Linked DNA regions of Oryctolagus cuniculus. The protein of the gene in region 2 purifies or fractionates together with the protein of the main gene of each other region. This does not show direct contact. Links are inferred from orthologs where the notes say so. Each region holds a gene or a part of one and is shown on either strand. Other genes may lie near its edges.

Region 1 (4,894 bases), on a different chromosome or scaffold from region 2:
TGGAAGATGGCCCAAGTCCTTAGGCCCCTGCACCCACGTGGGAGACCCGGAAGAAGCTCTTTGCTCCTGGTTTCAGATTGGCCCAGCTCTGGTCTTTATGGTCATTTTTGGAGTGAACCAGCAGATGGAAGACCTCTCTGTCTTTCCTTCTCTGTCTGTAATGCTACCTCTCAAATAAATAAAATCTTAAAAAAAGAAAGAAAGAAAAAAAGAAAGGCAGAATCGGAGAAGAAAGTCAGAGAAAGAGAGGGAAGTCTTCTATCCATTCCCCAAATGACCACAATGGCAGTAGCTGGGCCTATCCGAAGCCATGAGCCAGAAGCTTCTTCTGGATCTTCCACAAGGGTACAGGGGCCCAAGGACTTGGGCCATCTTCTACTGCTTTCCCAGGCCATAGCAGAGAGCTGGATGGGAAGTGGAACAGACAGGACTCGAACTCACGCCCATATGGGATGCTGACACTGCAGGGGGTGGCTTTACTTGCTACGCCACAGCGTCGGCCCCACAACTATTTTCTATGTTTAAAAATTTGTCTTACAAAAATTAGAATCTCTCTAATTGTATATGTTCTATTTGTGATTTTTTATTGCTCCTACAATAAATATATTCTCTTTTAAGATGTTTGTTTTCCATTTTGATTATTATTTGGTTTTATACTAAACTCTGCCTATAACTTAAGGGTAGGTATGAAATGATGTAACTAATTTGCCTATTTCCAAAGTGCTAACCAGTTATCCTAAAACTTTTTTTAAAAGATTTATTTATTAATTTATTTGAAAGGCAGAGTTCCAGAGAGAAAGGGAGAGACAGAGATCTTCCATCTGCTGGTTCACTCCACAGATGGCAACAACAGCCAGGGCTGGACTAGGCTAAAACCAGGAGCCTGGATCTTCTTCTGGGTCTCCCATGGGGGTGGCAAGAGCCCAAGCACCTGGGCCATCCTCTGCTGCTTTTCCCAGGCCATTAGCAGAGAGCTAGATCAGAAGTAGAGCAGCCGGGACTGGAACCGGCGCCCTATGGGATGCCTGCACTGTAGGCAGTGGCTTTACCTGCTACACCACAGCGTCGACCCGGGGGCAGGGGGTGGGTGTCTTGAGGCACCTTTTCACACACCCTCAGCCATTTTATTACAAAATCTAGAACTGGAATCTCCGGGCCTAATTTACATATTTAAAGTGTGTGTGTGTGTGTGTGTGTGTGTTTTAAATACATATTGCCAAACAGCCCTGGAGAGAGCTCTGCAGCTCCATTCGCTGTGTACGGACGGGCTGCACTTCACATACACCAGCTCACGAACAGAAAAAAGCAAGAACTTTCCCAACTTGGGACCGCAGTGCCTTCCACGTGGAACTGCATTAAAGACCCCAGAATCCGCCCATTCACCAGCTACCCCGGCAGCAGCCCTCCTACACCTGGAGACGACCCTAATTCACAGCAGCATTGTGCGCAACACTGAGAAAGAAGCACGAATTAACCGTTCCTTAGCCGAGGAATGGCCACGCCAACTGGGGTCTACACTCAGCGGATCGTCCCGGGAAAGGACTGCGGATTCGACGCGGACGGTGCCGTTTCTGCCTCCGGATCTGCTTTTCCGACGTGCTCGGCTTTTCGCCCCGGCCAGGATTCTGGATATGCAGCGGTCCGTGTGGACGAGGGGCTCAGGATCCGGATTCGCGTCCCATCCGGTCTCGCTCCTTGCTGTCCACATCTGCCCCATCCCCGGCGAGCTCTCCGCCCTCTGCAGGGCCTCAGGGGGCCCCGGACCCTTTAGTGCTCGGACTGCGGGGCGCCGGAGCCTAGTTTCCGGGCGAGGCTCTTAGCCGCGTACCAACCGGAAGTGCCCGTGTTATGACGGGAAGAGGTGCTTTCTGGGAACAGCAGGTGCTGAGGGGGTTGCATGGTCCGCAAAGATGATTCAGGCAATTTTGGTTTTCAACAACCACGGAAAGCCACGGCTGGTCCGCTTCTACCAGCGTTTCGTGAGTGCGGCCCGGCTTCGCCACGCCCCTTCCTGGCGTCTGCGCCCTCTTCCCTCCCCCTTTGGCCTCTCTGCGCGCCGCTTGTTGACCACTTCGGGTTCCTGCGCCCCGCATGACCCTCACGCTCTTCAGCTCCTTGCGTCCTTTGGGCAGGGGCCGACGTCCGGCCCGCAGGCCACCGCCTCACCGCCCTGTTGTCCTCTGTACCCTTTCGGGACCCCGGCGCTTCCCGGGGTGGAGCCGCGGTGGGGAGTGTGCCTCGCCGAGAATATGAGTGCTGGAGCCCCTTGGTTTCTACTTTCTGGTTGTTGGCCGCAGTTGCATGAGGAGGGAAAAGCATTGATCTGCTTTAAATTCTTGTTTTAGCCGGGAGGACTGAGAAAGTCCTTTTCTTGCAATGGTCTTGGCTTCAGTGTTGGCTTGGGACCGCCCGGGCGCTTCTCTGCACTGTAGGGTTGAAGAAAGCCAGCTTTAGGGCGGGAAGTTGGTGGGAAATGACGCTTGCTGCCGCGGGACATCTCAATAAATGATCATGTGAATTTGGATTTTCAAAAAAAAAAAAAAAAAAAAAACAACATTTCACGAGAAAAACACAAACACAGCTCACTTTTCCTGCTTTTGGCAAGCTAATAAACCTCTTCCGGACCTGTACTCCAGTCTCTGTCCAGTACAAATGAAAAACAACCCTAGCCTTTTCGTAGGATTTCTAAAGCGAGATTTTTTCAGACGACAGCGCGCTAAAAATGACAAGCATTCCGCCTCACTGTTAAACCTGTATTTGCGTTTGTGGATCCTCGCCCGCCACCCCAGTGTTTTTCTGACAGTTGCTGAGATCCCTCACCCACCGCACGGTTCACTTACTTGAAGTGTGCATGCGGGGACGCGGCCTCGAGGTGCTGCGTGGGCTGCCCACCTGCCGTGGTGGATGCCAGACTTCCGGTCTGGGCTCCGCTCCTCAGTCCAGCTTCTGCGGACCTGAGGAGGCGGCAGGTGATGGCTCAGCTCACCGCGTCCCTGCCACCCCCGGGGCTGGATTGGTTTCAGTCTGGGTGCCAAGGACATTTGGGGAGTTATTGCTGTTTCTTTCCGTCTCTCTGCCTCTCAAATACCTTTAAAAATACACTGTAGCTCCAAGTGGTTTGTAGTGTTCACAAAGGTGTGCAACCATCACCACAACTTTGCTTAGAAGCCCTGCCCATTAGCAGCAAATACTGCAGGCCTGGGCAACCACTTAGCTCCCTTCTGCCTAAATTTGCCTATCCTGGACAGTCCATTTAAGTGGAATCAGACAATATGTGGTCTTTTGTGTCTATCTTCTTTTACTTAATGTTCTTCCATGTTATAGCGTGTATCTGTTCTTCATTACTTTGTGTTGCCTAATAATACTCCATTGTATGTATATGTCACATTTTAAAAACACGTATTTATTTGGAAGAGTAGAGAGAGGGAAAGACAGAAAGAGGCCCTCCGTCCTCTGGTATATTCCCCAAACGATCACCACAGCCATAGCCGGCTGGGCTGAAGCCAGGGGCTCCACTCTGGTCTCCCACCTGGGGGCAGGGGCTGAAGCACCTGGTTCTGCTTCCCCCAGGTGCCAGCAGGGATTTGAACCGGCGCTCACGGGATGCGGTGTCACAGGTGGCTGCTTAACCTGCTGTGCCACAGTGCTGGCCCTGGAAGAAAATGTTAAATCTTTTCTTTCTTTTTTTATTTAAGAGGCAGAAGGAGCTGATTCACTGTCCAGATGCCCCAGATAGCCCCTGGCTGGCAGTGCAGCCCAGATCCAGGAACTCAGCTTCAGGTCTCCCACGTGAGTGGACCCAGTCACTTGGGCCACCACTGCGGCCACCCCTGCCCGACCTGCATCTGCAGGAAGCTGGAGCAGGAGCAGAGTTGGGCCTTGAACCTGGGACTCAGCTGTCCGACCTGGCAGCTTAGCTTCCAGGCCAGACACCTGCCCTGGGTCCCCCACCTTTTGGTGTCCATTCATCAGTTGGTGTTTCCTGCTTTGGCTCTGGTGATAATGCTGGGTGGACAGTGAGGTTTTTGTGTGAACAGAATTTCTCTCATTCCTCTTGGGTGTGTACCCAGGAGTAGCATTGCTGGGCCGTATGCTAATTCTATGGTGAATGTTTTGAGGAACTGCCAGACTGTTTTCCACGTGACTGCACGATGTTTCATTTCTGTCAGCTTTGTATAAGCCTTCAATTTCTCCACCTCATAATAAACATTGTCTATCTTTTTGAGTAAAGGCATTTTAGTGAGTGCAGTGTATCTTTTTTTTTTTTTTAAGATGTATTTATTTATTTGAAAGAGGTAGGAGAGACAGAGAGAGATCTTCCATCTGCTGTTTGCTCCCCAGATGGGAGCCAGGCTGAAGCCAGAGATTCCTCCAGGTCTCCCACTTGAGTCAGGGGCTCAAGCACTTGGGCTATCTTCTGCTTTTGGGAGGTGGATCGGAAGTGGAGCAGCCAGGACTCGAACTGGTGCCCATATGGGATACCGGCATCACTACAGCACAGTGCTGGCCCAGTGCGGTGTGTCTTACCCTGGTTTTGATTTCTAGTTCCATGAATATCTTGTCTATGTGCTTGTTGGCTATTTGTAAATCTTTGACTCTCATAGGGTTTTTATAAGAAACTCACGAGTGAAGATTGCAGAAGATTAAAGATAAAAGGAGTTGATAAAATAACTGGAACATGCAAGCAACTGGTAGTTAACCTTTTTATTGAACTAGAAATTAGGTAGTCTGACCGTTTGACATCATTTCCCCTCTACCACTTCCCCTTTAGAGTTAGAGAATAAGCTTGTAGTTCAGAAGATGTTCCTGCCCGTTTTTTTTTTAAAGATTTATTTATTATTTATTTTAAAGTCAGAGTTACACACAGAGAGAAGGAGAGACAGAGAGAGAGGTC
Region 2 (4,819 bases):
TGGTAAAAGGGGTTTTAGTGGTAGTTCAGTGGAAAACTGGAATAAAGGCATTGCAGTGTCCTGAGAAATAAATAGCAAATAGGAAAAAAGAGAGATGAATAAATTCTAAAGATACAGCTGTAAAGGGAATTGAAAAACAGGAAAATAAAGGGCTGTCACCGTGGTGCAGTGGGTTAAGCTGCCACCTGCAATGCTGACAACCTGTATGAGCACCAGTTCGAGTCCAGCCTGCTCCATTTCCAATCCAGTTCCCTGCTAATGTGCCTAGGAAAGCAGAAAAAGATGGTGAAGTACTTGGGCTTCTGCTATCCAGAAGCAGCCTCGTGGCTTTGGCCTGGCGCAGCCATGGTCATCGTGGTCATTTGGGGGAGTGAATCAGTAGATGGAAGCTAGCATTCTCTCTCTGCCTTTCAAGTAAATACATAAATCTTTCAGAAGAAAAGGAAGACAGGAAAAAAAATGGAGTAGATCCTGAAAGGTAAGAAGAATATTTCTCAAGGTTTAAAGGATGGTATGGACAGAGAGGGAAAAGCTGACGCAGGAGTGAGGGAATAAATGAAAGAAACGCCTTGAGGACACGGGAGAGGATGGCATTGGGAGTCAATGTGATTTAAAGAGAAGGGACCCTTTTAACTCTTCAAATAGAAGAGAAGAAAGTTTGTATTTGGTTTCAAGAAAATGATGACTTCTGTTTTCTCTGCATAATGCAATGGAAAGCCTCTTTTCCAAAAATACCATTTACGGGGCCAGTGCTGTGATATAGCAGGTAAAGCCACCGCCTGCAGTGCCGGCATCCCATATGGGCACCGGTTTGAGTCCCAGCTTTTCCACTTCTGATCCAGCTCTCTGCTGTGGCCTGGGAAAGCAACAGAAGATGGCCCGATTGCTTGGGCCCTGCACCCGTGTGGGAGACCCAGAGGAAGCACCTGGCTCCTGGCTTCAGATCGGCGCAGCTCTTGACAATTGTGGCCAATTGGAGAGTGAACCAGCGGATTGAGGGCCTCTCTCTGCCTCTCCTCTTTCTATGTAACTCTGACTTTCAAATAGATAAATAAATAAATCTTAAAGAAAAGAAAAAATAGAGAATTAAAAAAAATACCATTTGCTACTCATGAATTGAGATAAAACAGAGCTACTTAAAAATATCTAGTATATTGTTGAAAAGTCAGAAACACTGTAAAAATCACAAGGTTTATAAGAAAGGCTTGATAAGAAAAACGATCCTTATTGTAGAGAGCTCCCCTACTGATGATGTGTAAGTTTCAGGTAATTCTTCCTTTGCTCCACTTTTCCTATGGTCTGACTTGAAAACGTCTGGGGCTGGCACTGTGGTGTAGCCAGTAGATAAAGCCGCTGCCGGCAGTGCCGGCATCCCATATGGGCGCCGATTCGAGTCCTGGCTGCTCCACTTCCCATCCAGCTCTCTGCTATGGCCTGGGAAAGCAGAAGATGGCCCAGGTCCTTGGGACCCTGCACCCGCGTGGGAGACTTGGAGGAAGCTCCTGGCTTCGGATCGGTTCTGGCAGTTGTGGCCAATTGGGGAGTGAACCAACAGATGGAAGACCTTTCTCTATCTGTCTGTGTAACTTTGACTTTCAAATAAATAAATAAATCTGTAAAAAAAAAGTTCCTTTTCTTTCCAAAATTAATTCACCCACTGGTACCATATCATCCTCTTCCTTCTCATCCGGCATTTTCTCTTCTCTTTCTAGAACCCTTAATCTAGCACACTGATTATTTGCTTTCTACTCCCAAACACATGTCTTGTATTCGAAACAATCAAATTCAAACTTTTCATCTCACCACTCTGAGTAATCGGGCTTCATGCCCCAAATGATGAAGGATTAGTCTACACTGCATTATTAAAGCAGCTCTCTCAAACGGCCCAAAGATTCTCTAGCCTTCAACACTTTACTACTTACTCTTCGATTTCAGCTTCCTGCTTGGGCTCTTGCAGCATTTCATGTCTGATAACCTTCCTGAACACACCACAAAGGCTTCTTATCATACTCTACGGAATGTCATGGTTTTGTTTCTCACCCTGAAACTTAATTCCCAGTTTAGTTCTCAGAGGTCGCCCCTCCGCACACAAAATTAATCTCTGCTAATCTCCACCTAAAACATTCTTTCCAATTCGATAAATCCCACAACTCCACACAACCCCTTCTCCTTTTGTGATGGCTCCCAATTTTATACTGACATCACCTTCTTCATCAAATAGGCTGTAAATTCAGGTGCAAACGAATCTAAAGCCAACATGCCACATTGCCCACTTTTCCACAGTCACCTTTCTTCGGAACAACGGCAACATCCTCCTAGTATTCTCCACCCTCTAACAGGATGTCCGCTCAGGGCCATTAGGAGTTTTGTCATCCAAAAAGGAACCCTGGGGCTAATTCGAATAGTCAGAACTCCAGCTCCCTGAGGCAACAAGACCCTTTTCCCGTCCGGGAGCACGGAGAAGGACGCCTACAAGCAGGACCTTGTGCCTGGGAACACTGCCCTGCAGGTGCATCTTTCTCTTCCGGCCCAGCTGGCAGGAAAGCCCGGAAGGCCGGGAGCCGGAGAGAGGTGCGGCTCCAGGTCGCAGCAACAGAGACGCTCCTGGGGCCCAGAGCCTCAGCCATTCAGCCTACTACCCAGCTGTCCCCTGTCTGCAGACTCCCCAGTCTCCGCACTCACCCGGACACCCAGGCCAGTCAGTCTGATTCGGCGCCGGGTCCTCTCCGGACCAAAGCTGAGGCAGCAGAGAAAGCCGTGAGGACCCCGCAGTTGGAGTGCCCAGAAGATCGCCTGACTAACAGCTTCAAAGACTCAAACTCGGTCTCCCGAATTAGAAAGATTAAATAGCAAGATAGGCGTTAGGTGAGAGAAAAGAAATTTCTTAATGTTTGGGATTTAAGTCTGCTAGTTCATCTAGGATCTAGGAAAAGGGCGGGATTCCGCACCGTTTGGACTCAGGCGCTCATCTGCAGCCTAACTCAGTCTCGGGTCCCCTACAGTGGAGTGGGTGGGGCCATGAGGGGGCGGGGCAATACAGGGGTAGAGCCAATGGTGGTGGGTGAGAGAGTCATGGAATGGGCGGTGTTTCGGAGGGCGGGGTTTGGAGAAAAAAGGCGGTGATGCGTGGAGGGGGCGGGCTCAGAGGGCCGAGGGGGTGGGGCGGTCGGTGGAGCCCAAGTAGGGTGGGAGCGCGAAGATGGCAGCTGCTGAGGAAGAGCCAAAGCCCAAAAAACTGAAGGTGGAGGCGCCGCGAGCGCTGAGGTGAGCGCTGCCCGAAGTGGGGAGGAGGGTGACGGCGCCTTCAGCAAGCTAGGGCCCACGTGGGGTTGCGCAGCCCCGGCGTTCGGTGGTGTCCGGCTGCCTGCCTGCATGGGGCCAGCACGCCCGACCTGTCACTCAGGGAGCTGCTCGCGTGGCCGCGACCCCTCGCCCGTCCCCATCTAAGTTTACTTGACTGGTCGTCCGCTCCAGTGCAGCTCCGGTTCTGGCAGCTCTCCGCTAGTCAGGGCGGCCGGCGGTGGTTGGTGGTAGTGGGGGGAACTGAAGCCGATTGCAGGCACCACGTGCGTCCCGCGCTGCTGGACTGGTGCGACCCTGGAGGACCGGTCCGGAGCAGCGTCCGTAGGCAGCCACCTTCGCTTCCCAGAGGGAAAGCGGGGAGAAGGCCTGTGTCTGTCCAGCTCCGGGACAAACAGAATTCTTGGGAATTTTTTGACAAATGTCGAGGAAGGATGCCTTGACCTAAGGCATACGCACTTTGAAAACTGGCACCTTTGGAGACCTTCTGTCGGGGACCCATACCCCACCTGGGAGGCTTTGCAGGCCGAGTGGATGGGAAGGGCTGGTTTTCTTTTTTATTTGCATTTTTTTTGGCTGCAGTTTAGAATTTCTTTCCCCAACACCAGTCTCATGTATGATTGATGTTGCAACTTTAACTTACAAAAAGTCGTTTGTTAAAAACTGCCTTCCTAGCAAGTATAAAGTGCAGCGGCACAGTCTTTGATGATTTTGAAGTGTTCGTTGGAAGGCGGGGATTTTTTTAAATCTAAAAATAAACTTTCAAACTAATTTAAAGCTATTGAAACACTACTGATTATACAAATTCCATTTCTTCCAACTCTTCTTCGCTTCCAGAAGATTGATTTCATTCCTAATTGAAAACGTCATTTAGGGACATGGTAGTGTGTTCATACTGTTTTGAAAGGAGAGAGAGACTAAATCCCTGCCAGTGCTTCTTTTTTTTTTTTTTTTTTAAGATTTATTTATTTATTTGAAAGGCAGAGTTACAGAGAGGCTGAGGGGGAGAGAGAGAGAGAGAGAGAGAAATAAAGTAAGTCTTCCACACACTGGTCCACTCCCAAGATGACCGCAACGGTCGCAACCACGCAGATCCAAAGCCAGGAGCCAGGAGCTTCTTCCAGGTCTCTCACATGGGTGAGGGGCCCAAGGGCTTTAGCCATCTTCCACTACTTTCCTAGGCCACAGCAGAGAGCTGGATTGACAGTGGAGCATCCAGGACTCAAACCACTGCCCACATGGGATGCCGGCACTGCAGGCTTCACCTGCCATGCCACAGCGCCGGGCCTCCTGCCAGTGCTTTTAATGTATCCCCACTAACTTTGAAAGATTAATGTGCCTACCTTATACCAAGAGTATAAACAAAAATAATAATTCCGTATGTCTTTTTTTATTTAAACATTTTCAGACTAGGATGGCACTTCAACAAGTTTTGGAAAAATGGAATTAAAAGATAATTATCATTTTCTTGACCTTTTTGAAGTATCCTTGTATATGCAGATTAAAACAAGGACTTTTG
Region 3 (5,047 bases), on a different chromosome or scaffold from region 2:
GAAGGGGGGACCGCAGCAGGGGGAGGGGAGGAGAAAGAAGCAGCTGGAACCTAATGAGAAGATAACACTGGCTGGGGGGGAGGAGGCCCCCATTGCTGGGGGAGGGTGCAGTTCTCAGGGGTGGCTTGGGACAGCATGTTTGAGTACCTGATGTCCAGGCCTCTGGAGTCACTCAGCACAGAGAAGCAGGTGTGGAGCCCGGGATGCAGCACTGTGGTCAGTGGAAGGACCCAACCACTCTTTCCAGCAGCATGTGCAAATGCCCTGTGGCCTAATCCCTTTCTCTTCCCAGACCGTGACTGGGGCAGTCAGCACCATTAAGTTCTTCCTCTCTGAGGCTTACCTGGGTCAGCACTTTGAGATTGTGGAGCTGAGCGACAGGGAGCCGGAGCCTGGAGACCTCTTCCTGTTCAGGATGATGTCCCCCTTGCGAGACTTTTGGTGCGGGGCCCACGTGGGTGTATACTGTGGCCGTGGAGAGATCATCCACTTTGAGGGTGAGCACCTCCAACTGAAACACACGGGCCCACGAGTGCAGGGAGGGGCGGCCGGGCCATGCACACCCCAGCAGCGGGCCGGCCGTTCCGGGGTGAATACCGTGGTCCTGGGCTGTGGGCGTGGGTCTCTGAAGATGCCTGCTTGAGCAGCCAGAGTGTGGGGCTCAGGGGGCCTCAGGGGGCCTCAGGTGGCGGCAGTGCGGGTGCAGGGCCACGGGGCACAGCGCCTAAACCTGGCTCTGATGTGTCGCTGGCTGGCAAAACCCACAGGCAGGAGCTCCGGCGGCTTCGGGTTGGACTCCGTAGTGCGCTCCTCCGAAGGCGTGGTGTGCAAACAGGGCCAGCGCCCGCTGCTGCGCTCCCGCCTGCTCTGGCGTGTGCTAAGGCGGCGCGGCGGCGTGGACCGCGCGCTGTTGGAGCGCCGCGTCCGCGAGGCCATGGACGCCGACCCGCCTGTCTATCACCCCACGCGCAGCAACTGCGTGCACTTTGCTCTGAGCCTGATCCACCCGGAAGGGGACCCCGGCAGCTTGGTAAGCGCGGATTCCATGGGGGGGGGGGGTCCTCTTAAATCCAGACCCTCTGCCCTCCACCGGAGCCGCGTGCCTCCGAACTCCAGATGAACTTTATTCGGGCAGGCCCCAAGCTCACAGATCCCGGCCACATTCTCATTCCCCCAACAGACTCTTCCTACTGAGCCAAGCTCCGCCTTCCCAGGCCCTGTCCATTTCCACCTGGCCTCTGAGCATTCGCGGTCCCTGTCCACAGAGGAGCTGTTAATTTTATTACAATTAGACCAGTCCTTATGAACTCTAACACGACCCAAGCCCAGCCCAGAGGTCCCTGGCCACCCAACTTGATGCCTCAAACGCTGGCCCATGGAGAGCCTACTCCTCCTGCCAGCCGAGTTTGTTTTCTTCTTTCTGAGTCTGGCCGGCAGTCCTACCTTCCTCTCCCCCGCCCCACCCCGACATCACACGACCCAGGAGTCCTGGTGGTCGCACCAGCCCCTAACCCAGCCTTTTCCCTTCCTTCCTAGGTGTCTATGGACATGGACCTAACCGTGGACTAGGCGTGACCTTGGGCCCTCCTTGATGGTGTGGGGACCTCAGAAGGGGTCATTAAAGTATTTTTCCAAAGCTTCATTACGGTTTCGCTGTCTTCTGTAACCCATAACCCACCTCTCTGCCTGGAAGTCCCCCCCACCCCGCCAGCCTCTCCATAGACGGCACCACCTCCTGTCCCCCTCCCCCTTTGGGTGGGTGAGCATCCTCTCCTGTGTCTGTGGTGAGCGGAGCCGCTAGGCCAGGCGGTCGCAGGACGGGGCAGGCGTTGCGCATCCCCGGGACGGCCGTCCCCTTCTGCGCCCACCAGCCTCACCCACCCCAAGCCTGGCAGGTGCGCGAGGTCCCTTTAAAGGGCAGGAACCATCCGGGAGAGGGGATTTCCGTGGGATTGGGGCGGGGCCGGCGCGGCTGCCCTCTCCGCCCCCTTGCGGACGCGCCCTCGGCTCGCCGACGCCGGTGCCTTTAAGAACCTCGGCGCGCGGCCCTGATTGATGCGCCCGCGCACAGCAGCAGCCCCGCCGCCAACACCACCACCCGCAGCTTCTGCAGAGCGCGGGCCGCGCACCGACCTCGTCCGCCCAGCGCGGCCTCCCGGCCTCGGCCCCGGCGCGGACCCCGGCCCCGCAGCCTCCTCCTGCCCAGCGAAGCCCTACCCCCGGCCTCCCCATGTCGGCCGCCCCCGCCTACAGCGAAGACAAGGGCGGCTCCGCCGGCCCCGGGGAGCCCGAATACGGCCACGACCCGGCGAGCGGCGGCATCTTCTCCTCCGACTACAAGCGGTGAGCGAGCGCGCGGAGGGCCGGGCCTGGGCGAGGCGCGCGGGCACCATGGACAGCGCCCGGGCCCTCCCGCCCGCCTGGCCCCGCACAGGCCCCGCCCCGGCCCCGGCCCGGGCCCTGGCCCCGCCGGAAGGCCGCCCAGCCCCTTCCCTGCAGCCCGGGCCCGATGGGCGCTCCCCGTCCGGAGGGGCAGACCCGGAGTGGGGGCTGGGCCAGCCTGCTTCCTCTCTGGGGTTCCTCCTGTTTGCAGCCGGCTTGCGAGTTTCCCACGTTTTTCCGCGCTAGGAGAGCGGGCTCCAGATTTTCTTTTAGGTGGGGGATGGGGATCTAGGCCGGCAAACAGGAGTTTGGACCTGGGGCCTCGCCCCGCGTGCAGACACAGGCCGGGCCCTTTCTCTGCCCCCTGGTCCCCACCTCCCACCCGACGCTGTCCTCCTGCCCCCCGACACTGCCCCTCTGTTTCAATCCCTTCCTCCAATCCGCTTTTGATTATTTTGTTTATCCGTACATTCTGCGATCAGCAATTATTAAAGGCCCGCCTTATGCTGGCCGGTGCTGACCACCGTGCAGCTGTGAGCGTGAGACGCTAACTGCTCTCAGGTTGCTATGGAGAGGCGCACAGATGAGAACCAGACAGTGACAGTTCGGTGCAGTGGGGGCACTGGGAGTGGGGCGAGGGGCTTCCCAGGCAGAGCAAAGCACTTGCACGAGAATGGGGAAGGAAGGAGAGTGGGGACCCCCGGCTTTGCGGGCACAGGTGCAGTGTGGCCAGAATCACCGTGCGAGCCACTGGAGTGACCAGAAATGAGGCTGGGAATGGCTGCTGGAGGGTTCCAAGCTGGTGCCATCACCAGATGGGTGTTTTGGAAGGATTACAGGCTGGACTGTGGAGAAGGGATGGCAGGTGAGACGAGTGAGGGGGCGTGACGGTGACAGGCAGAGCAGCAGTGGCCTAGGCTCCCCAGAGGGGCTGCGGATCTGAGGGCTATTGAGGAGGGGGGAGCTACAGACCTGGTGATTGTTGGATATGGGGCGTGGGGGTGGGAGAGAGGGGCTGGGAGAAGGTAAGGGAGACGCCCAGGTTACCAGCTCCTGAGCAGGATAGATGGGGCTGCTCTGTAGTGTAATCGGAGAGAGACGCATTGCAAGCATACTGAGCCCAGCTTGGGACAGGCTGAGATTGTAGCCCTCCGAGGGCCATGCAAGGCTAGTGGGTAGATGGGTATTGGGATTTGGATTCCATGAGAGCAGTCAGGGGATTGTTAATATACATGTGTCCGTTAAAGCTGCAGATGGACGTGAGTTCGGACAGAACTCAGAAAATAACATTAGGGGTGACCAGAGAACCTAAGAAGAAGTGAAGCAACAGGCAGGAAGATAACAAAGTGTGATTTCGGGAAGAAGGGGAATGGTCAGTAGTATCAGTGTCCACCAAGGTCAAGTCCAACAGGGAAGGAGATTTGAGACCATTGGATGACAATGGTCATCCAGTCCTCATCTCCTGCCCTAGGAGACCAGACAGGAACTAGATTTTTTTTTTCCCCCAACATTCTATCATGATCGACTTTAACCATGCAGAAAAGGTGAACAAATGCAACGGATGCACATGTGTCATCCATGTAGGTTTGGCCACTGTTGGAACGGCACCGTCTCTGCTTATCCATATCTGCATTTGGCTATGTTCGTGACCCAGCATCTAAACCCAGGCTGGAGTGAATAAAAGGGCAAGTGGGAGGTGAATAAGTAAAACAGTGAGTGGGAACGTGGCTTTTAAGAAGCTTGATTGCAAAGGAGAGAGAGAGAACTGCTCAAGGGAACTCCAGTTCTGAGGTTTGTTTGTCTCTTTTGCTGTTATTTTTGTGTTTGGTATGAGGCTGGGAGGCGTCTACAGCAAGCTGAATGTGGCTGGGTAGGAGACAGGAGTGTGGGAGGCGGGGAGGCAGGGGGCATAGAGGAAGCCCGGATCTCCGAGTGCCGGGAGGAGCAGCTCTGCCCAGACGGAGGACAAGCGGGCACAGGTGCGCACCGTGAGCTGCGGGGGATTTTACCTGCAGCCTTTCATTTTTGGGGAGAGGCAGGTAGTGGAGAGCAAGACTGGGAGTGGGAACTTTTCGGGTCGAGGGGCTCAGTACTCGGTACTCATGGCAAGTGAAGTCAACCAGCGCTGGCTGGCAGGTGGGGGCTGGCTGGCAGGCGGGGCGTGGAGGGCTAAGGAGGTGACCAAAGGATGGCCCCAGGGTGGTGGGGTGGAGATAGAGATAAAAGGCTGAGAGGAAGGAAGAAACCAAGGGCTGGCTCTGCCAAGGCAAGGGAGGAGCCCGAGGCTTGGGGTCAGAGATGGGGAGGGGCTGTGGAAGGCTCCCCGGGAAGCTGAGGTCTGGGGGTGGTCATGGGGGGGGTCCCTGGCTTCTGTTTGTACAACACCCTGCCCCTCTGCCTGGAGTCTGGGATGTGGGGTGTAGACTTAGCCCCCTTTTTGTCACTGTAACTAAAATATTCACTTCTTGGGAAAGGAGAGGTCTAGTTCGGCTTATGGAGTGGAGGCTACGGTGCAGCAGCAGGTAGCCCTGTAGTCCGGCGTCTCTCATGGGCGCGGAGAGACGGTCACACCGTGAGCCAAGAAGCAGAGAGGGGAAACTCCTAGGCCGAACTTGAACTCTGATAATAATCAACCCTCCGAGGAGGAGCCCCCACTGACCTGCAC
Region 4 (4,974 bases), on a different chromosome or scaffold from region 2:
CGGCCGCGCCAGTCCCACCTGGCGGAGACCCTCGGCCGCCCCAGTCCCACCTGGCGGAGACCCTCGGCCGCCCCAGTCCCACCTGGCGGAGACCCTCGGCCGCCCCAGTCCCACCTGGCGGAGACCCTCGGCCGCCCCAGTCCCACCTGGCGGAGACCCTCGGCCGCCCCAGTCCCACCTGGCGGAGACCCTCGGCCGCCCCAGTCCCACCTGGCGGAGACCCTCGGCCGCGCCAGTCCCACCTGGCGGAGACCCTCGGCCGCCCCAGTCCCACCTGGCGGAGACCCTCGGCCGCGCCAGTCCCACCTGGCGGAGACCCTCGGCCGCCCCAGTCCCACCTGGCGGAGACCCTCGGCCGCCCCAGTCCCACCTGGCGGAGACCCTCGGCCGCCCCAGTCCCACCTGGCGGAGACCCTCGGCCGCCCCAGTCCCACCTGGCGGAGACCCTCGGCCGCCCCAGTCCCACCTGGCGGAGACCCTCGGCCGCCCCAGTCCCACCTGGCGGAGACCCTCGGCCGCCCCAGTCCCACCTGGCGGAGACCCTCGGCCGCCCCAGTCCCACCTGGCGGAGACCCTCGGCTGCCCCAGTCCCACCTTGCCTGCAACCGTGCGATCATGTCCTTGTATCTCACACCACGAAAAGCCCACGCCTACCCCAGTGCCCGCGCCTCGCGCCGGGGCCACGTCCAGCGTCCAGCACTGCCTGTCCTCGGCACCCAGCGAGCCCACGCCTCGCTCCCCTGCTCCCCACCAGGCCTGGAGGCCCCAGCCCAGCCCCCCTCTGGGGCCGGAACCCACTCCCCACTCCCCTACTCTCCCACTCCCCACTCCCCTGTGGTCCTGGCCCCAGACCCCTCTGCTCAGCGGACTCGCTCCACCCACGCCTTGTCCTCCGGCCGAGCTGCCCGCCGCCTCCTCGCAAGCACGTGGGAACAGTGACCCTAACTAAAAAGGGCCGCCACTAAAGGCACGTCCTCCAGACCACGTCCCCCAGACCACAGTCCCCTCAGACCACAGAACCCCTCAGACCACGTCCCCCAGACCACGTCCCCTCAGACCACGGAACCCCTCAGACCACGGAACCCCTCAGACCACGTCCCCTCAGACCACGGAACCCCTCAGACCACGTCCCCTCAGACCACATCCCCCCGACGACGTCCCCCAGACCACGGAACCCCTCAGACCACGTCCCCCAGACCACGGAACCCCTCAGACCACGTCCCCCAGACCACAGTCCCCTCAGACCACGTCCCCCAGACCACAGTCCCCTCAGACCACGGAACCCCTCAGACCACGTCCCCTCAGACCACATCCCCCCGACGACGTCCCCCAGACCACGGAACCCCCCAGACCACGTCCCCCAGACCACGGAACCCCTCAGACCACGTCCCCCAGACCACGGAACCCCTCAGACCACAGTCCCCTCAGACCACGGAACCCCTCAGACCACAGTCCCCTCAGACCACGCCCCTAACCTGACCTGCCTGCGGGCCTCCCTGCTGTATCCTCCTGCCTGCGACACTATTGAGAGCCTGGGGCCGGCGCCGGGGCGTAGCGGGTTAAAGCTGCCGCCTGCAGTGCCCGCATCCCACATAGGCGCTGGTTCCAGTCCGGCTGCTCCACTTCCGATCCAGCTCCTGCTGTGGCCTGGGAGAGCAGTGGACGATGCCCGAGTCCTTGGGCCCTGCACCCGCGTGGGAGACCCGGATGGAGCTCCAGGCTGACTTCGGCTTGGCCCAGCCCTGGCCGTTACAACCATCTGGGGAGTGAACCAGCGGGTGGGAGACCCCTCCCTCTCCCTCCCCCTCTCCCCCTCCCCCTCCCTCCTTCCCTCTCCCTCTCTCCCTCTCTCCCTCTGTAACTCTGTCCCTGAAATAAATAACGAAACCTTTAAGGAGCTGCGCTAAGTCCTCCTCTGCCCGGGGGGGCTGGGCCCGGCCACCCTCACCCTCGGGACCCGGAGGAGGCTCAGCTCTGCCCAGCCCGCAGCTCCCCTACGGAGGGCGCAGGGTCGCTCCGGGGAAGGCTCGGGGCAGGTGAGCGGTGAGCGCCGCCCCGCCAGCCCAGGGGCCTCCGGGCCGCAGGTGTCCAGTTGCAGGCCTCCCTGCACGGCGCTGGGATTCGGTGTCAGGCAAGGCCTGGGGACCGCAGCCAAGCAAGGGCGCGCGCGCGCGTCCGCGCCGACCGCACGCGGGGCCGACGGAGGTCCCCGCTGACACCTGTAAGCTCCCGCGCGGACTCGCGGGGCCCAACCTAAACGCCCGCACCGCCCTCCAGGCCACGTCCTCACCAAAATAAAGAAAGAAGAAGGCGGCGAGAAGTGTGGCGCAGCTCGCACCCCGGCTCCACGCTGAGCTCCAGGCGCACGGACGACCCGAGACCCCAGGCCGGCGGCTTCCAGCGCCCACCGGCCCTGCTGCGCGCGCGGGCCAAGCCCCCCGGCGGGGTCCCCCGCAGGTCCCCTGGGCCAACAGGGCGCCGCAGCTGCCGGGGCAGGTTCTGCGGGCAGCGCCGCGCAGCCCGGGTCGCCGTCGCGCGCGCTGGCGGCGGCGGCGACCTGCGGCCCCCGGCCGCCCACCCCGCCCCGGCCGCCGCCCGCAGGGACCCCCGCCCCCCGCCGCCCACCCCGCCCCGGCCGCCGCCCGCAGGGACCCCCGCCCCCCGCCGCCCCCCGCCGGCCCGCGCACTCACTGTTGTACTGCACCCCCTTGGCGAAGCGCCTCTGCAGCGCCTGGTTCATGGACTGCAGCCCGGCGGGGATGTGCTTGTCCCGGCCAGGGGCCTGCTCCGACCCCACGAGCTTCTTGAGAGCGGAGAACATCTTCGCGCGGCGCGTCCGAGCCTGCGAGGCCCGGGAGCTCAGCTGCGGCGCGGCGCGGCGCGCACCATGTCCCGGCGGCCCAGACCCTTCCCGAGGCCGGAGCCGGCGCGCCCTCCCGCAGGCCGAGCCTGCCTGAGGCGGCTGCCGGTCCTCAGCTGCGGCGGCTCCGCGCTGGCCCCCGAGGCCCCCAGCGCGGCCGCTCTCCGCCCGCCAGCGCCGCCATCTTGGCGCCGCTCGGCTACGGCGCGCCGCGAGGGCCACGGGCGCGGGGCGGACGGCGCACGCGCGGGCCGGGCTACCCGGGACACGCCCCCGCCCCGCCCCCGCCCCGCCCCCGAGCCCCGCCCAGTCCCTGTCCCTGGAGACCCCGAGGGCCGCGCGCCTAGGCAATGCTGGAAAAATGTTTATTCGTGTACGAAAGCGCGGGCTGGGGCGGGCGGGGCTACTTCTTCTTCTTCTTGGCCGACTTGAACTTCGCTTCGATCAGCCCCTGCGCCTGCTTCTTGATGTCGGCCCGCGACGGGACGTAGCTGTGGTCCATGTCCGCGAACTGGAAGGTGTCTGCGGGGCGCGGCGCGGCTGGCAGCCCGGTCCCTGCGCGCCCGCCGCTGTCCCCCGCACCCTCCGACTCGCGGCCGCCTCTCCGCGCTGCCGCCCCTGGGCCGTGACTTGTCCCCGAGGCCGTGGCTGCCCTGCGCCGCCGCCCGGTCACCCCATCACTTAAAGGCCCTCTGGGTTCCTGCAGCCCCACGGGGATGACCAGGTTGACCAGGATGTGCCGGTGGGACAGGGGCACGCGCCCCGCCCCCAGCCCAGGCCCCCCGCGCACCTATCATATCCTCCAGGTCCTCAAAGCTGATCCGGGTGTTGCGCTTCTCCTTGAGGGTCGAGGACTCCAGCGCCTCCCTCACCTTCGTGTCCACCTGCAGGCACAGCCCCCCCTCAGCTCTGCGGCCACCGGGGCTGCCCGGGGGGCCCGCCCGCCCCCGGTTACCTCTTCAGTCCTGGACAGCGCCTGCACTTTGTCAGCTAGGTACGTGAGCTTCCGCTCGCAGAAGGCCAGCTTGGAGCACACGTCCAGGGTGTCGGGGGGTGCTGCTTCCTCCTGTGTGGCGGGGGGAGGGCTTGGGCTGGCCTGGGCCTCACCTCGGGGCCCCCATCCCACCCCTCCACCCGGCCTGGGCCCCACTGCTGGGAGGGGGCCTTGGGCTGGCCTCTGCCTCCCCCCGGCGAGCGGCCCCCACCCGCGCTGTGCACCTGTGCAGGGAGGGGGCCTTGGGCTGGCCTCTGCCTCCCCCCAGCGAGCGGCCCCCACCCGCGCTGTGCACCTGTGCAGGGAGGGGGCCTTGGGCTGGCCTCTGCCTCGCCCTGGCAAGCGGCCCCCACCCGCCGGGCACCTGTGCGGCCGGCAGGGCGACGCCGATGAGCCGGATGTAGAGGTTGTCGATGCCGGTCTGGATGGTCAGCAGCAGCTTCTGGCTCTTGGCCACGCTCTTGCGAGCCAGCCGCAGCCGGTCCTCCTCCGCCCGCAGCGTGTCTGTCAGCCTCTTCTCGATGGAGTTGAAGCTGAGAACGGTGGGGGCACCTGAGGGCCGGGCCGGGCGGCGCCCAGCTCCCCTGCAGGGCTGCGGGAGCCCCCGCGCACCTGACGGAGCTGGGGGTCTGGTGGAACTTGAGCAGGGCCTCCTCCAGTTCCAGCTTCTTCATCAGGGCCTCCAGCTGCGCCCGCCGCCCCTCGCAGTCCTGCATCTGCAGCCCCAGGTTCTCCTCGGTGTTGTTCTGAGACAGGAACCGGCCCGCGATGTCCTGGCAGCCCGGGGAGAGAAGGCAGGACTGAGCCAAGAAGGCAGGGAGGGGGCTCCCGGAGGGCGAGCCGAGCCAGCCGAGGGCGCCACGGCTGGGGACGAAGTCCCGCCCTGCAGCACTTGGCTGAGGCTGAGGACAAGGCGCTCCGGTGAAGCGTCTGGTGGCTGTGGTCAGCTTGGCCACCCTGTCACTTGGGAAGGGGCTGAAGGAGGAGGCAGAGGCCCGCCCCTGGCATACGGGTCCTCAAGTGCCAACAGGCCCTGTGCCGCCCCCGGGGACAGGGCTTGGCTACGCCGGCTGCGTCCTGGGAGTGCCCTCCGCTCTGAGCAGCACCCCACCCGCCCAGG

What was found.
Region 1: the proteins of AP3M1 (region 2) and AP3S2 purify together in Homo sapiens (co-immunoprecipitation; 3 studies listed by BioGRID and IntAct, counting the BioPlex papers as one, with this or other methods). This does not show direct contact. The link is inferred for Oryctolagus cuniculus from reciprocal best matches to the Homo sapiens genes AP3M1 and AP3S2.
Region 3: the proteins of AP3M1 (region 2) and AP3B2 purify together in Homo sapiens (co-immunoprecipitation; 3 studies listed by BioGRID and IntAct, counting the BioPlex papers as one, with this or other methods). This does not show direct contact. The link is inferred for Oryctolagus cuniculus from reciprocal best matches to the Homo sapiens genes AP3M1 and AP3B2.
Region 4: the proteins of AP3M1 (region 2) and RABL6 purify together in Homo sapiens (co-immunoprecipitation; 3 studies listed by BioGRID and IntAct, counting the BioPlex papers as one, with this or other methods). This does not show direct contact. The link is inferred for Oryctolagus cuniculus from reciprocal best matches to the Homo sapiens genes AP3M1 and RABL6.

Annotation. Positions count from the first base shown.
Region 1 is NC_091443.1:99,932,778-99,937,671, reverse strand, and holds the start of AP3S2 (AP-3 complex subunit sigma-2), read left to right. Parts: upstream 1-1,820; 5' UTR 1,821-1,848; coding exon of another isoform or gene 1,849-1,881; 5' UTR 1,882-1,910; coding exon 1,911-1,979; intron 1,980-4,894. UniProt on the Homo sapiens protein: Part of the AP-3 complex, an adaptor-related complex which is not clathrin-associated. The complex is associated with the Golgi region as well as more peripheral structures.
Region 2 is NC_091446.1:65,204,618-65,209,436, forward strand, and holds the start of AP3M1 (AP-3 complex subunit mu-1), read right to left. Parts: upstream 3,009-4,819; 5' UTR 2,683-3,008; intron 1-2,682. Other genes in the region: ADK (adenosine kinase), read left to right, coding at 3,200-3,264. UniProt on the Homo sapiens protein: Part of the AP-3 complex, an adaptor-related complex which is not clathrin-associated. The complex is associated with the Golgi region as well as more peripheral structures.
Region 3 is NC_091443.1:101,580,877-101,585,923, reverse strand, and holds the start of AP3B2 (AP-3 complex subunit beta-2), read left to right. Parts: upstream 1-1,973; 5' UTR 1,974-2,230; coding exon 2,231-2,343; intron 2,344-5,047. Other genes in the region: uncharacterized protein, read left to right, coding at 293-497, 768-1,030, 1,537-1,569.
Region 4 is NC_091432.1:237,241,175-237,246,148, reverse strand, and holds the start of RABL6 (rab-like protein 6), read right to left. Parts: upstream 3,075-4,974; 5' UTR 2,822-3,074; coding exon 2,692-2,821; intron 1-2,691. Other genes in the region: CCDC183 (coiled-coil domain-containing protein 183), read right to left, coding at 3,264-3,382, 3,651-3,744, 3,816-3,926, 4,079-4,627. UniProt on the Homo sapiens protein: May enhance cellular proliferation. May reduce growth inhibitory activity of CDKN2A.